Drosophila melanogaster: one gene and its partner. The protein of the gene in region 1 interacts with the protein of each later gene in a pairwise test. Each region holds a gene or a part of one and is shown in the gene's direction. Other genes may lie near its edges.

The links. The genes of interacting proteins can lie anywhere in the genome.
Region 2: the proteins of Lim1 (region 1) and Slip1 interact in a two-hybrid assay, tested with the Drosophila melanogaster proteins (one large-scale study listed by BioGRID).

What each region holds. Positions count from the first base shown.
Region 1 is NC_004354.4:8,801,580-8,809,266, reverse strand, and holds the start of Lim1 (LIM homeobox 1), read left to right. Parts: upstream 1-3,462; 5' UTR 3,463-4,260; coding exon 4,261-4,303; intron 4,304-7,687.
Region 2 is NC_004353.4:660,342-669,934, forward strand, and holds Slip1 (SLo interacting protein 1), read left to right. Parts: upstream 1-3,279; 5' UTR 3,280-3,359; coding exon 3,360-3,401; intron 3,402-3,513; coding exon 3,514-3,999; intron 4,000-4,646; coding exon 4,647-4,964; intron 4,965-5,609; coding exon 5,610-6,591; intron 6,592-8,078; coding exon 8,079-8,233; intron 8,234-8,788; coding exon 8,789-9,109; 3' UTR 9,110-9,543; downstream 9,544-9,593. Other genes in the region: CG46466 (uncharacterized protein), read right to left, coding at 814-1,632. UniProt on the Drosophila melanogaster protein: May selectively reduce calcium-activated potassium channel (Slo) currents by reducing the number of Slo channels in the plasma membrane.

The sequences.
Region 1 (7,687 bases):
GGCTTTTCGATGGTTTTCGAACGCTTGTGCATATCAATCGCAATGCGATCGACCTTTTTCTCTGTCAGTATTTTTTAGGAGACACACTCTAAAAAATATAACATAACATTACATGTACTCCCGTATTTTAATACTTAACCTTAATTTATTGCTGGTTTTTGGCTTTTTTTCCATATTTTTTAGAGAGCATCACTATGCTCATTCTTTTTTTTTGATTCGCCCCTCGTTTTCTCCTCATGCCGCTCCCCTCCTTGTAAATCCTCTTTCTTTTCGTGACATGGCGACGTCCGTTTGCTGTTTGTTCAGTTCGTGACTGGTCGCATTTAGGGGGCGGAATGGGAGGGGCAAGTGGGCGTGGCGGGGCAACCACTTGACTCCCAAAACTTGGGAGCCGCGTTCTTCGTTGTTGTCAGAATCCAAATCATTTTTCGCAATAAATAAATAGTAATTTAAGGTTAGGAGGAATCAAAATTATCATAAAGCTTAGAATGCACAGATATCGAAGATATATTCAAAAACAAAGTATTTAACAATATTTTCACAAATTTTGTAAAATTTGTAATTTTTTTTTTTTTTTTCAGCCACTATTCTCTTGACCGCAGCTGTACACCCCGGCCCCCAAAAATATCGCCTGCCAAAAGTTTATGGCGCGTCGCGAAGTTCGTCGCGCTTTTCTTGCCTTTCATGATTTTCTTGCTTTTATTGTTGATTTTGTTGTGGCCATCGACCTGCCACCCCCACTGCCGCCCCATTTAGGTGGGCGGTGCTGTTTCTGCAGTGTGGGCGTGGCAGTTAGCTGCGGCTTATCACGGCCTGTCCAACATTTTCTTACCGCTACTTGTTTGTTTTCGGTCGAGTAGTCGTTTTTTTTTTGCAATCCCCTCACCAAAAGTCCGAATATTTTGGTACCTGGCCAGATTTAAAATATTTATTTTTCCTTTAAAACCGACATCTAAAGTAATATCTAAAGTAATAGTGACTGTGGCTTGGATTTGAACAATTATTCGTTAAATGGGGTTCATTTGATTTCAGAAAGAGTATTCAAGAACATTGTTTTAAAACTGTTGTGCTCCTGCTTGTTTTTCGTTGCTACTGCGATTTTTTGATAACTGACATTTGTTGGCAAAGGTGGAAGGAAGGAGGTGGGTTAAGTGGAGATGAGGACAGGACGCCAAGTGAAGCTAGAGGGGATGCAAAAAGGAAGCAGAGGAACCTGAGCAGTTACAGAAGCCAAAGGTAAAGGTAATGTTAAGGCAAAGCCAAAGGTAACGAGCGCGGCTGAATGAGATGACAGATTAGGGATCACAATGTGCTGTGGGTGGATCCCCAGCTTGGCTCTTATCCTCTATTCCTTATACCCAAGACATTCTCCTTTTCCTTGTGTTCTTTTGGGGTCTTGAATGTAAATAACTTGTTGCTTGCCAAAAAGTGTATTATAAATATCTTATTCCTCGAGAGTAGTTATGTAAGTGTTTTTGCTTCAATATCCTTTTTATTCCATTCCTATTATGTCCTCATCCCTTTTGCTCTTACTAAATTTGGGGCAAAGCAGTTTTCAAGGCCGTCAAAGATCAACTGATTTCGATAACTTTTCGATAGCGCAGAACAAGTGAAAAGTGACACGCACACGCAAAAACAAAAAGCAAGCACTTCACAGCTTAACACCCTAATGTGCAATATTTTTGACTACCCCACATCCACGCACACAGCAAACGGCGCTCTTTAACCCACCACAGCCCCCTTATTTTGTGTCGAACATCTTCTTCTTCCTATCGAAGTGTGAGTGAGAGGGAAGACCGTAAGGAGTGAATGAGAGCGGGAGCCTCCTCCCCGACCTTTATAATGCGTTCTCTTTTACTCTCACTTATTTTATGCATTTTTTTTATTTTATCCAGTTTTGTCTTTTCTTGTTGTTTGTTTAGATCTTTGGCATTTTTGCAATTTGAATCCTATATTATTTCTTATGGTTTTTATTGGTTTTTGTATTGGTTTATTTTTACGATAAGTGTCTTGCTATAGATTTATCTAAATCGAAAGCTTATTAAAATTGCATTTGTTAAAGAAAAAGAAAAAGATATAATATTTTGCACAATTTTAAATGTTTTTTTCTACTAATTTTTTGTTACTTGCAATTTATCTAACACTTTTTCTTTGCTTTTTTTTCTTCGCCTCCGTTTTTTTTTCTTGCTGTCTCCAGTGCGTTAAAACGCCAAAGGGGCGTCCCTCTCCAGCTAACGCCCCCACCACCCCCCGCCACTAGTGCTCTCCCTTTCGCACTGCTAACGACAAGTGACAAACACAAGTTGCAGAAGAGGCAGCCGAACAAAAACAACAACTAAAAATAAAAAAGAAGGAAAGAAAAAAGTTTTTGCGACCAACAGTTGACAGTCGAAAAGCATTTGACATTTTACCTTGGCACGCACACAAGCACCGCCAAGTGCGAAAGGGACAAAACGCGGGCAAATGTCACTTTGAAAAATGCCATTGGCCCGGCCAGCGAGTGTGAGCGAGAGGGCGCGACGGCCGGAGAGCGTGAGAGCGAGAGAGCGCCATTTTGCGCATCTCTCAATGAAGCAACAATAAAAAAACCAGTTGCTTAGCAACGCCCCCTCTAACCGCAAAAAAGAGAGCTGGAGAGCAGGAGAGCCAGTGTTGCAACAACAATGGGCAAAATGGAAGGGCAACAACAGCAACAAAAACCAAAAATATCCTTACAGGAACAACGCCAGCACCAATCTTGAGAAAAGGATCAAAAGCCCAAGATCAACAGAAGAATGTGTGTAGAATTTAAAAAAAAAGTGAATTTTTGGATTTTTAAAATCTTATGAATCTAACAAGCATCTAGTAAGGCTAACTAAATATTTAGTTATCATGCTAAATATATCAAAATTTTCAAAGAACTTATATTGTGTATTATCGAACAATCACCTAAATTAAATCCTAAAAAAGGAAAAAAAATTAAGATTTCTTGATATTTTTTTCCAATTGTTATGAAATTGTATATCCTTTTCCAAAATATTTTTAATAATAATCTAGATATGCATACCAAATATTCTAGTCATATTTTTTCCATTTTTTTAGAAAACGTTTTGAAAAACAATTTTTTTATTTAAGAATAATATGATTTCTTCATGCCCAACACGAGAGAGCCAGGAGAAGCGACGGAAGCGAGAGCGAGAGAGCCTGCGACTCCATTGCAGCGCCGCCAGCAGCGCAGTCGGCGTCGCAGCAGCCCCAGCTCAACATTCGCTGCATCTCGCTCTGGCGCAGGCGAAATATGCGAGCACTGCTTGCCGCATTCGGTAGCACGAGTGCGAGCGATGCGCCTGCTAGCATCTCGCTCGCACCCAGGCGCGCCATTCGTCGCCGCTTCGGCTCGCCGTTCGTGTGTGTGCGTGTGCGCTCGGCTGGCAGCTATCGGTAATCGGGCCGTCCGCTTTGCCGTCGCGTTTGCCGTTTTCCGTTTTCAGTTTTTGTTTGACGTTCGCGTGAAGCGCCCGCAAAACGCAAAGCGCACGAGGCAACGCTCGAAAAAGGAGCCAACGCAGCCGTTTACCGTTAGTCAGCTGTTTACCGTTCCGCCGCGAGATCGAAAACCGAGAATTTTTGCCGTTGTTCAAATTTTTTTGCAAGTGAGAATCTTGAACAACAAGAAGAATATACAACACATAAATACAACAAAACCAAGGAATCGCCGAAAAGCCGATAGTGCAAAGTGTTTAAAAAGAAAAGAATCAATTTCATATACAACAACTAAAGAAATACTGGAATATAAGGCATAATAGAAGCGGAGGAAGTTTCTTCAACTCAAAGAGGAGCGGAATTTCGCGCTTTGTTTTTGTTTTGCCAAATTTGCCGCCGGCACACACGTGCTATCCCCCTCTTGCTCGCACCTTGCCACCCAGTCTTTATGTGCGTTAACCGTTAAGTGTGCAGTTGGGGCCCGCTCCTATCTTTCTCTCCCTCTCTCTCTCGCTTCCGCACCCGCACACACACACATATATCCACACCCACGCGCGCCTCGTTCACATACGCACACACACGCGGGACTTAACCCATTGACGGCCCCCCCAAAAAAGCAGTCACTCTTAACCCCCCCGAAAAAAAGAAAAACTCCATCCCCCCGGCATCAAGATATTCGACAACAAAATTCTCACCGAGGCCTCAAAAGCGCCCCTGAGGGCCGTCGCACTGGCGTCATATCTGGGCGACGGGTTCGCCGCCCTCGGTAGCCGCGCCCCCCCGCCCAAGGACCATCTGATGGCGTTCGGGGCGGTACTACACACCAGCCAGCACAATATCGGTAAGTGATCGTTTTGGGGAATTTAGGCATTAAGCGGTTAAGGGTCCAGGAAAACATAGAAAATCTGGGGGGTTTGCAGTGAGAATCCCAAACAGGCAAGTTCTTAAGGTTAGTCACATATAGGATACTGCAATCGAAATCATTTCATCCAAGAATCAGCACTAAATCTTTGAGTTGTGCTTGTAGTTCTATAGAATAATATCATTGGGAAGTCAAGGATGAAACATTTTACAGATCGAAAATAGAAGTTGTTTACATCTAATCTAGATTAAGTAATATTCATGATGTCCTCTATCGAAATAGAATGAAAACACCTGTTTGTAGGCTTCGTATAATATTTAAATTGTTTATAAAATCTGTAGACGAGTGATCAATGACACCAATGACACATTTCAAAAATACTTTTAAAAGATGGCAAAGAAGTGAATTTTCGAAAAATGTACTGACAAAAAAGTGGAATCTATTAAAAATGGCTTGATCGCTATGCCGACGGGATGTGGTCTTAGATTTTCAACTGGTGGTAGAAAGACATAAGAAAAGTAGGGTCGAGTGCGGTCGAAAGTCCTTAAAAGGAAGTCAACCCCTTGAAGGATCGGCGAAATGCGATCCCTAGGATGGTGGGTTAATACAATACCGCTTGCCCGCAATGGGTTAAGATGGCCAAGGAGTTTTTAATGGCGACGGCTGGGCAGCAGCAAAGTTTTTGCACTTTTGAACTTGCTTCCCGTTTTTAGGGGACCGCCGGCGAGGAGGAGAGGGGCGTCTAATGCCCCGTCGTCCATCTGCCGTCTCTTTTTCGCATTACCATTTTGTATGCTTTTGAAGTTCTTGTTCATCTGTTTTTGTTTCGGTTTTGTTTTTCCTCCTCTTGTTTTCCCGTTCGTTTTTGGACTGAAAAACTTTTGCGCAGTTGTCAAAGTTTTTCAGCTTCTTCTTCTGCCGTTCTTCCTCTACCCCATCTCATTTTTTTTGGCTTTTGTTTTATTTCATTTGCTCTCTGTCAAATTTTCACTTTTGCTGACTGTTTAATGTCAGGAACAAAAAAAAAAAAAAAAAAAAAAAATAGTAAAAAGGGAGCAAAAAGTTCAGAAATGAAGGCTCCCCTCTAGTTTTGTATTTTGTGATTAGTTGGTGAGGAATATTTCGTTTATATGTATGTATGTAGCTCCCCATCAATTTGAATAACTATAAAAAACATTTATAAACTACAAAATTAAGGATCTGCAGAGATTTAGAGACCGAACACTCTTTTCGAGTATATTTTGGATTCTTATCAAAAGAAATGAAATGAGAAATGATTTAAGTACATATTAGTAAAAATGTAGTAAGGTATTTTATACCACAAAAAATTTTTCAAAAATATTCTAAAATCCTCAATAGCTTCGTTTTCGAACCAGTGAGGTTCGATGGAAATTGCAACTGCAAATTCTCCATTTAACTTGTTGACATTGGACATACAGCGGCCGACACCTTACTTCCCCCATAAATTGGCTAGAGAACTGTTGGGGTTTTTGGGCTTGGGGCCTGCAGCTCCGGGGGCGGTTCAAGTCAAAAGCTGTCGACATTTGACTGGAAAATGGATGTTCAGGAAGCCGTAGACCCGCACAGTGGGCCACCTTACGACGGCGGACTGATGCCAAGTGGAGTCGTAAAGCTGCCAAGCTTTCTTCTTCCTGCTTCTACTGTTTCTCGGTTGGATTTTTTTGTTTTTGTTTTATTTCTCGCTCATAGACATACCCATTAGCTAATGACTAAGTGTTGGCAGTTATGAACTTAACTTGCATTTAGTTGGGGAAAACTACAAAGTAAAGTACCACTGAATATAACTCGGCTTAATGAAGATAACTTTTCCGCGCAGTAGCTGTATCTTTTTTCGAAAGTTCGTAAAGTAATTTGGAATCAGGAAAGATATCCAATTTTTTATGGTATAGTTAAGGTTTTGAAATGAGATGGAAAAAATGTATTGGAAATACTTAAGATAGGATACCAATTTAGGTCGTTGAATCTTTGGTAATGTGTTTATTCTTAAGGAATTTAGTTTTCAAAACTTCAATAGAATAGGGTAACCCCTCGTCGTTCAATTACCAATATCATCGGCCATTTCTCTGGTCGACTGCTCATTTTTCTTCGCATATATCTTGGTGGCAGCATCTTTTCAATTTTTATGTTGCTGCTAGCGAACACGGCAGCAACATGCAGCAACAGCAACGTGCAGCAACAGCAACGTGCAACAGCAGCAACGTGCAACAGCAGCAGCAGCAGCAACAAAAGCTCAGACCGGCAACGCCTTCGACAAAAGTTTGCGCTGCTGTTCATCAACATTTATGACTGGCCACAAAGGAAGATCATTACGATCCCGAAGATTACGATTATGGGGTGTAGTAGGCTCATGCATACATATGTATATACTCGAATGTATGCAGGCAGGATGGGATCGTGGGGTCTGTGGCTCCTCTGTTTCTGTGCAACATTATTTCCGTGGAAGCTTTTGTCCAAGGAAATGTGATTTTTCTAGCCGTTTTTAGACCTGCGCTGTTGGACATTTACGACGACAGCAACGTGGACTCAACTGCAGCTTCAACTTGTCCATCAACGGCTCTATGGATCCTTTCGTTGATTTATGGGGCAAGAAGCAAGAAGCGTAGACACGGCAGCCGTGCTTATGCAGCTGCCGCATTTAGCAACTTCAAACTGCAAGTCGACAGTGAGGGGTTAAGGTCTAGTTCCAGGGCGTGGCACGGCCCATAAATTGCCATGCATAATGAGGCGTTGAGACCCTCTCTTCTTGTCAATATATTGTGCGATTTTCACTGCCTTCTCCGGTGGTCGGTCGCCAAACTATCGCTGGCTGGAACAAAGAAACACACACACACACACACACAAAATTGGTAATTGGAAACCCGTTTCTCGATCAACGCCACTTTCAAATTAAAAGTCATTACAATAAAGTCGCTCGATCCAAGACGCAGATTGGCGGAAGTCAGCCGAAGAGTCTAATAAAACAAAATCGAGGCGGTTTTAGAACTTTGTAGAACAGCAAACTAAATTATACATCTTTTCTTAGCGTGCCTTCAGTTTTTATATGAAGAAATCCATTATTACAAATCTAAAATACTTTTATGTTTTTAATTTGTTTACGTAGTTTAGGCTTAAACTGATAACCTGCCATTGTTGAGAAATTGCAATGCCTTTATTTGAATATGGACAATATGAAATCCTTTACCATAGTCCATTTGATCGCCCCCTCTCGCTCTTGTCACCGCTCTCCATCTCTGTCTGACGCCTGTCGCCGTCTCTGTCTCCGTGTCTGTTCCTGTCCTCTGTCCCTGTCTTCTGTCCCGTGCTATGAGAGTTATGAGGGGCCCCCCAACTGTTGGGAACTTT
Region 2 (9,593 bases), on another chromosome or scaffold:
AGAAAGTTTCGCTTTTAATCGTACTGAGTACGTCTTCAACCATACATTAAAATTATTCTACTTCAATTTAGCTGCATTACTCCGTACATTCTATCCGTGGTGGGCTGTTGGCAATCTTTTCGTTTTAATGACAAAGCGCTTGTTTTCGAAAGATTACGCACACAAAAACATTCACTACTCGTGCTAATTCATTTTAACACACGCAATTTAAATAAAAAGTAACTATACGATGCTCTCACTCGCACTTCGCCTGGATCACGACAGACTCTTCTAGGTAGATGTCCGATATTTTCTTAAACTAATCGATATTAATCAATCTTAGGTAATACCCAGTTTACACAACTGCCTAAAATAAGTGCTGTGACCCGTTCACATCGAAGAGGTCAGATAGAGGGTACACAACAGAAGGATTAATTGATTAAAATAAATTAGCTGATATAATTTAAATTAATTCAAAACAGAGCTGTTTCAAACAAGTTCCAACTCATATAACTCTCGACCATTTCTAACAATTCAAATGAAATTTAAGGGATTAAAACAATACAGTGAGATAACATATGCATTAATAAATTTTAAAGCTTGAATGCCTTATTGAAGTGAGAATTGAAACAGGTTTGGGCAATCCATTAAATTCATAACTTATTTTATTAAGTCTATGTTAAAAAAGAATCCTTAATAATGTAATGTATAAAGTTTGGACTTACGACCGATTAATATTAATGTGTATGTTTTGGTGTTTTGCCTTGAAATCAAATGAAATTATGTTCTAAAATATCGGCTCTCCTTCGACTATCTATGAGATTTAAATAGGTTTTACCAATTGCTAAGAAAATCGAAACCCTTAGGCATTTTTAGTTCAGGGGATAACAGTTTTGTATTTTCGTCTTGACGTGCATCTTTAAATTCGTTTTCATAATCAGACAAGTCGTTTAACACACTGTTTTTCGATCCACATTTAACGAGCAGTTGCATTTTCTCATTAGATTCAATACATTCATCAATATAAACAGTTTGGGTTTTTGAGAAGTTTTCATGAATGGAAATCTTTCTTTCCGTTGTGTTAACGCCGGTTTTATCATTAGAATTAAGGTGGAGAATTGGTATTTTTTTATTGGTTGAATCTTTTGTCTTCAATTTTAAATGAATGGCCTTTTTTACGCCTAATGGAGTTTCAACAAGACAGATATCATCAAATTCTTTTAATACTATGTTAATTTGTGATTTGGTTCGATAAGAAAATGGAAACGAATGTTCATCTTGAAAATCTCCGGTGTTTTCATCGCGTAATATTTTTAAACCAACGTTTTGATAATTATATGTGTGTAAATCTTGGCCGTTATATAAATATACAATGTCTCTGAAACAAAATTTACGGTAATCATTTTTACTAACTTCAGTATTTTCGTACGGATCCTGTGCCGCATAGTTTTCTTTAGTCTTATGACAGTACTTAGAAAATATAACAGGATCTATTAATTGGTTATTCAATATTTTTTCCTGTTCGTTTAAAGTCAATTTAAGCCAAGCGTCTTGGTTGTATGTAGATTTAACTTTATTGAGATCGCAGGTAATTTTTTCGGAAATTGAATTAAGACGTGAGAAGTATGACTGAGCCTCATCGTGTGTTGTCATTTTTGATCTGAAAATAAATATGGTTTGCTGTATTAAATGGTTAGCGGAACGTTAGATTCTATCATAAAATCGAATAATTATATTAACCTGAATTCTTGAAAAAGTATTTATAATTCTTTTATACTCTTCACTCGTAAAGTAAGGGGGTTATTAAAAATTAAAAAAGAACATAACAGGTGAACAAAAAGGTTTCCGAGACTAGTTAATGAACTTCGGGATTTGGACACTATATGATGTCCAAACCGAAAACAAATGCAATAAAAAAGAAATATATAACCTTAGAATCAAATTAGCCCACCTCTCCTTTATTTACATTACTAATTTTTGGTAGCCAGAGGAGTGCTTCCCGACATTACAACATTCATAGGGGCAGACGGAAGTATCAACTCGGATGGGTGTTTCTTTCTAATCTAGACACATACATATGTATGTATATACTACATAGGGTTTATGTGTGTTTAAATTGATATGGGCGTTACAGTTTTGAACGATTTGTAGGTATTTGGTTAAAATTGTTTTTGGCAGTTTTTGGGCGGTTCGTGGTCGTTAGAACAAGCGTGTAAACATTTGGAAACATGTGAGTATAAAATGGGATCGATGCGTTCCTATTACATACATATACTTTCTATGATCGGAGACGGTTTCTTCTACCAATTACATACATTGCAGCGAATCTAATACATATACGATTTTACTTTACAAGTAATGGGTATAATATAGGAAATAAACAAAAATCGGCAAGCCGATTTTTATATGCTTATACTGAATAATATCTATTTATGATCACGAACAGAAAAAATTTGACTTTTCCAAGGCATATGGTCGAAAACTGTTCAATACCGAGATAAAACACTTTCTAACAAAAAAGAAGATATGTATGTATGTTCCCCTTTGTCGAGGTCTTTCTGCCATACATGTAGTATGCATAGTATCGGCAACAGAAAGGCTTTTAGAAAGATTTAGTGAGAAACGGGCGTACGGATATGGCTATGTCCACCTGGCTCTTGACACTTCACATTATTTAGGATATTTTTACTGAAGTTTAAATTTACTATTTAAATAATAAAAATTACTGCGATTTCCCGTTTTAACCATCATACAACCTTAAATACGAATTGATCCGGCTATTTAAGCTCTATATAATTGTATATGTGTATGCTTTAAGAAATACGCATCCATCGATAGATCAAGATAAAAGTATCGGAAATAAATTATTATATTGTGTTCACACAGTTAAGTCACTAAGGCCATTTCCATTTCATTTACATAGCACAAAATTGATACGAAACGACAAGAACTTCAATGACAGGTGCGTATCAAACAATAGTGGTTACAAAAACCATTCTATAGCAACTCTTTTTAGTCAAGGGGCACCTCCGCTTTTCGTGGTTATCAATGCCTAAGCCATTGAAATATTATATTATATTATCAATTTCATTACATCAACTTCAACTTTATATTCAACAATATGAATTGAAAATTGGTACAGTCTGAAAATATGCGTTTATACGAGCGGATAATTTTAATTGCTATGATTTCTCAATCCGTTAACGGTTTCCATTCCGTTGCGAGTTATTAAACGATTACTTAAGAGAATCGATTACAATTTTTATCAAAAAGAATACGTAAATGATATAAATGAAAACAAAAGGTTTGGCCACACTTTCGAAAAAATATGTATACAATTAAATGAAAATAAATATGAGTTTTGGATTTTAAGCATCACTATGAGTATTGCCGACGTGGAGTACGAATATGTTGTGTTAAAAGTAAGTTCAATATAAAGTAGGACTAAGAACCGAGTTCTCGTTTTACCATAAATAGTTCCATTCGTGTGAAATCTGTTTTTTAGCGTTTCAAAATGCACATATTCTGTTTCAGATAAACGGTTACGATATTAGTCATTTGTCGAGGTATGAAGCGGTTCAAAAGTTCCTTCAATCTAAAGAAACCCTTGTCGTAGAAATACGCAGACAGAAACACAATGCATTAGATTTAGAATTAAAACATGGCTCCAATGCCAAAATATCAAAAGTGGACAATCCCGGAGAACTTTCTGTCCTAACTGACAAGTCAGCAGAAGGGACGATCACAGCTGCCAGTGCCTCTCAACAAATAAATTGCCCATCTTCAACATCGTTGAAAGAAATCGAGACGAAAACTCCTGTGGTTTTAACTCTTCGGGCTAGAAGTCATGAGGATCGTTTGGGAAGTCTACAAGCCGCATCGAAGGAAACTCAAACCCAATCTGTCGTTGGTACGGACGTTTTAAAGGATAACGATTTGGTTAACACAATTACCGACAACTTCATAGAGCATGAACACCATTTGTTCGAACAATGCCTGGAACCGGAAATCGACATTGAGGTATTTACCATACATTACTACAGCAGTACCACAAAACTGTTCTGGTCTGTCTTCGCGATGTGCGATGGCGACTTCTCTATACACTTAAGACCCATTCTATGCTTATTTAATGCAAATACAAATTGCGTTTGTATGAGCATTTGTGTAGCGTTTGCTTGGGCTGCGGGCCCACATTCAACCCTTGCCCTTGCGAAGTGCAGAAATTTTAAATGCTCATATTCTCCATATGTACATACATATGTATGTTGCAGTTTTGTTATATTCGTTGAGGAGAGACTATATACCAACACAAGCCATCTGTAGACTTTGAATGATCGAGCGGTCGGACGGGCATAACAGTTATTATTAATATTCACAAAGTTTATTATTAAAATTTTTTGGAGTTGTGTGTACACTGTCACTTGCTAAGTATTTGCACACAATGATATTTAAACAAATTTCGAGAAAGCAAAAAATATCAAATAAAATAAATAAAAATTTTTGGAAGGTATAAGGTGATTGCCTTTTGTACGCCAGTGGTTTATTTACTCTCGCCGTCTACATAAATATTATTGAAACCGATGTATTTATAACAGATCCTAAAACTGTCAGTTGCTTAGATATGTGTGTTGGGATTCAAAATAATAGTATTTTTTTATAATCAACAGGAAGTAACGCTTGTTAAAGGTGTTGAACAGTCAAGCAGCAATCAAATCGGGCTCATTGTTACCTCCTCCGGAATTCAGCAATCAAGTACCGACACGAATAAAGGTGACATACTAGGTAACGTTTTAGAACATAGTGAGGATGTGTTCATCAGTGGTGTACAACCGGAAAGTATAGCCTATCGTGATGGGCGCCTGCGACAGGGGGATCAGATTCTTCGTATTAACGGCTTGGATGTTAAAAACCAGGAGGAGTTAGAAACTCAGATAGCCAGGAGTAGTACATCAGTAACGCTACTAGTTAGTCGAATTCTATACCCTGTAAGTCGAAATTTCTAATACCAAAAAAAAATTCCCAAATAAACACTTAGTTCATAACTATAGTAAGGGGTTATACCACTGTAGAATTTAATACGCTAAAAAATGCGCACCATTAAATTAAAAAAAATATTGTTCGTTCTGGTTTTTAATTTAGATCCGATTTCGACTTGTTGCCTCAGAGTAACCGCCTTCAATCTCGTAACTTAAAATCATGGTTTTGTTTGGAGTATATCTTTATATATATATTTACCTTACGGTCAAATTCGCATACGCTTACTAACGATTTTCCATGAATCCTCAAACTCGTTTTATAAAATATGTGCTTAACCAGGTTAGTAATACTATTAATACCCACATTCCATATAGATGAGATGGGTGTTGGGACTATAAAGTCCATAGCGATATGTATAATATTTGAAAAGTCAATAATGTTAATGGTAAATATTTTTGTGATTGTATTCTTAAAACAGACCGCAGTGGGAGTTGAGAATTTGTAGAAAAATATTATTTATTTATCCAAAATAAGTGCCTACAGTTGTGTGACCCATTGATAACCGATAAAACCATTTTTATTAATCAAAGTATAAAGTTTAAAACTGTAAATATTTTAACTAGCTGCAATATTTTGGAACAAATTTTTTATAGGAAGACGATGATGACGAAGATATACATTTTGAGTATGCTAATACATTTCTGCCAGATGACTATACAAATGTAGTGGATAAATTGGATAAGGTTTTGTTAACTCACGTCAAGTCTTTGGAAGAACTATCCAATAAATCCGCCATGCAATCTGACGAATGCTATCACATACCAGAAAAGAACTCATCTGATTCAAACGTTAAAATATCTTCTTTGGCGAAAAATATCATTGAGCAATCTACCAAGTCCTGTAGTAAAATAAAGCTTCGACCGAATGCAAACTTGGATTATAAAAAAAAATTCAATCTACCTTTAAGCCAAGAAGAAGTTCATCTGCAATATGAGTACGATGAAAGCGAGCACATTTACGAAACCATTCCAGAAGATTCTGAAAGTGAACCAGTGTATTGTTCACCGTACCAACGTTCAAACGACAAGACGTCAATAGGTTGTTCATCTCCAATAGCATCGAGACCGGCCGAATCATTAGAAAGAACAATGCAACAACAAACTCAAAGAGTCGCCCAGTGGTTGGGCTTGAAGCCACAATACCAGAAAACTAGACAAACTCTAGTTGGTCGACCCCCGCCGTTGAAATTAGTACAGCAACCTACTTGTAGTCGTGTTTTTACATTGCGTAGCACCTTAACCAACACAAGCGCATCCAGCAGTAGTGGAGTGGCATACAGCTCTTATGGACAAAATAATGTTGTTACAGGGAACGCCGCGGCTCCTGGCGAAGAGGTCGATAACTCCTCAAGTGCCTACAACACTGGTGATTCTAATAATAGCGCCTCCCCCCATCAAAATACTACAAATCCTGATGAAGCCATCGCCACTGGTCGCAAGCTAGATAGTACTGTTATTGATAGCCCCAATGATCATTTGGATGCCACAGGTGTAAGCACTATGTTGCTATTACCATTCGGCAAGTCTGGCCGTATTGGTCTCTGCTCTTCCAATCTGCCTACAGCGTATGTCAGCGGTATGCATAACAATTATATTTTAGTTGCAGATAGTACGTAGCGTCTGACATATCAGACGTGCTCCACTTTAAAAGCTCTTCACCTTTTACTTTTTAAACTTTGAATTAAATGGTACTAGGCTCGTTAAAAAGCTAGTAAACGGTTGAAGAAAATTTCAAACCCTGTAAAGTATAAATTCTTGATTACTAGACGAGTCTATCTGGTCATGTCCCTCTGTCCTTACGGATGTCGAGATGTCGGTAGATATAAAAGCTAGAAAGTTGAAACTAAAGGCTTATATTTTAACTGGAAAAGTCAATATGTTAATGATAAATATTTTTCCGATTGGATTCAACAAAAAGAGACGCAGTGTAGGTTGAGGAATTGTAGACAAAATATTATTTATCTATCGAAAATAAGTGCCTACAGTTGTGTTAACCATTGAGAATCGATAGAAACCATTTTTATTAATCAAAGTATAAAATTCAAAGGTGTAAATGGTTTAACAAATTTTTATAGGACGACGATGATGTCGAAGATATACATTTTGAGTATGCTAATACATTTTTGCCAGATGACTATACAAATGTAGTGGATGAACTTGATAAGATTTTCTTAACTTACGTCCGCTATTCAATCTGACAAATGCTATCATATACCACCAAAAAAACTCATCTGACTAAAATGTTAAAATATCTTTATTGGCGAAAAATATCATTGAGCAATCTAACAAGTCGTGTAGTAAAATAAAGCTTCGACCGAATGCAAACTTGGATTATAGAAAAAGCTTCAATCAATCTTTAAGCCAAAAATAAGTAAATCTGCAATGTGATTGCGCGCACACCTATGAGGCCATTCCATAAGATTCTGAAAGTGAACCAGTACCAACGTTCAAACAATAAGACGTAAATATATATTATTGATTACTAGACGAGTCTGTCTGGCCATGCCCCTGTGTCCTTAAAAACGTCGAGATCTCGGAAGCTATAAAAGTTATAAAGTTGGGACAGCATGCAGTGATTCTCTCTATCGATATGTCAAAAAATTTGGACCCGCCCATTTTAACGCCATTTTAGAGAATGCTATAGTCAAGTTCCCCGACTATCAGATACCCGTTACTCAGCTAGTGTAAATGCGAACGCGAAATTTCATAATTTGTCTGGGATATCAATAAATATGGGGGAATACAATAAGAAAAAATTTTAAAATTTTTCAAAAGTGTGGGCGTGCATAGACGTTCATGTCCAGAACGACTCGCCTATTGACACTGATCAAGAATATATGTATATACTTTATATGGTTGAAACGCTTTCTTCTACCTGTTAGATACTTTTCTCCACGGGTATAAAACGATTTATCATTTTTGCCTTGATAAAAAAAATTCTGAAGCAATTAACATTTTCAAATTTGTGTAACATTTAACTGAACGTCTTATTATAAGATTTACAAACTGAAAACGATATATCGTGAACTTCATTTAATTACCATTAACATTATTCCACTTCAGAGCGGTATACCAACGTTGGGTCTGAAAATGAAATTCATCCACTTAAAAGCGACATTGAAATACTAAGAGTTAAACCAACTGATGATTCCTATAGTCATTGTCCACAGTTTAACGCCCCAAATTTGAGTAGTTACCACTTTGTTAGTAGTCAAGAGGTAAGTACAAGTTTAATGTATGTGCATATGGGGTAAAATGGTATTAGTAGGGGATTAAAACGAATGGATGACAATGATTTTAACAGTTGACGGTTAAATCTAAGATTTCATTTGAATGTTACACATCTTAATGAATTAAGTATCATCCATTGAAAATATTTTAATAATTTTCTTATAAGTGCATTTACTGAACGTTTTCTATGGGTTTAAAATTTAAAACATGTAAGGATCAACAGGTCAGGAAAATACATATTTTTACCACTATTTACTACTTTATTCAACTTTTTTCTAAGATCATTCCAATAAGAGATCACATGAAAGGAGGTTTTAAATCGATTTTTAGTGAAAAATTATGCATCAAAAAAAGAACAATTCTAAAAACATTGTACATTTTCAATAAAATTCAAAGGGCAAATATACCATATAAGTAGGCTTGCAAATCTATTAAATCTATTAGTATATACATGTATCTCATATTCCATCTCTCTCATATTCCATTGAATATATTTTTTTGCCCATATTCTATAAATAAAAGTTTTGATTACTTTTGTAAAGGTTGCAAACAGATGTCATATTTCAACAAGCTTACAAAAAAATGCTACTTTGCTTAACGGTGAAAGTGCTGAGGAAATACCCATGGTATGGAAGGTTAAAAGGCGACCAGATGGAACGCGGTACATAGTAAAACGGCCAGTACGTAATCGACCCCAAGTTGCATTGCGGAAAAATATGCGTTACAACGAGGTTACCACGACGGAAGACGATACAATATCTGAAGTAAAAATAGGTCGTTATTGGACAAAAGAAGAACGAAAGCGGCATATCGAACGAGCTCGAGAGAAGAGACATCATCAGACGCAGCAACAGCAACAATAGCCACAGTAACATTTTCCTTTTGTACCATTTAAAACTTACATAGCTTTAACAACAGTCTTAAGAACACTAATTGGATTTACTGTCGAACAATTTTATTTGATTGTTATGGTCGTCATCAAAACTTAAAGAGATTATCAAGGTGCAAAAACAAGATTTGTCATAATTCCACTTTAAAATTTTATAATCTAACATTTTTTGGTGTGTCCAAATTGAATTAAAACGTTGTTTTGGGGGTCGTTATAAAATTCAAAAACTGTTCCTATACAAGTTATTTGTTAAAATAATCCCTACAATGCGTATAGTCTTCGTTGATGCTGCCACGATTATTTACGGCATATTACACATGTAATTAATGAAATACTTTCAGTTAGGTATAACATAATAATGCAAGTAATTCTAAGGTATTGTTTATCTAAAATAAAGAAATCGTGAACAAAAACGTTGCTTTCAAATTATCTCATCTATCGAGGAACTCGACTATAGC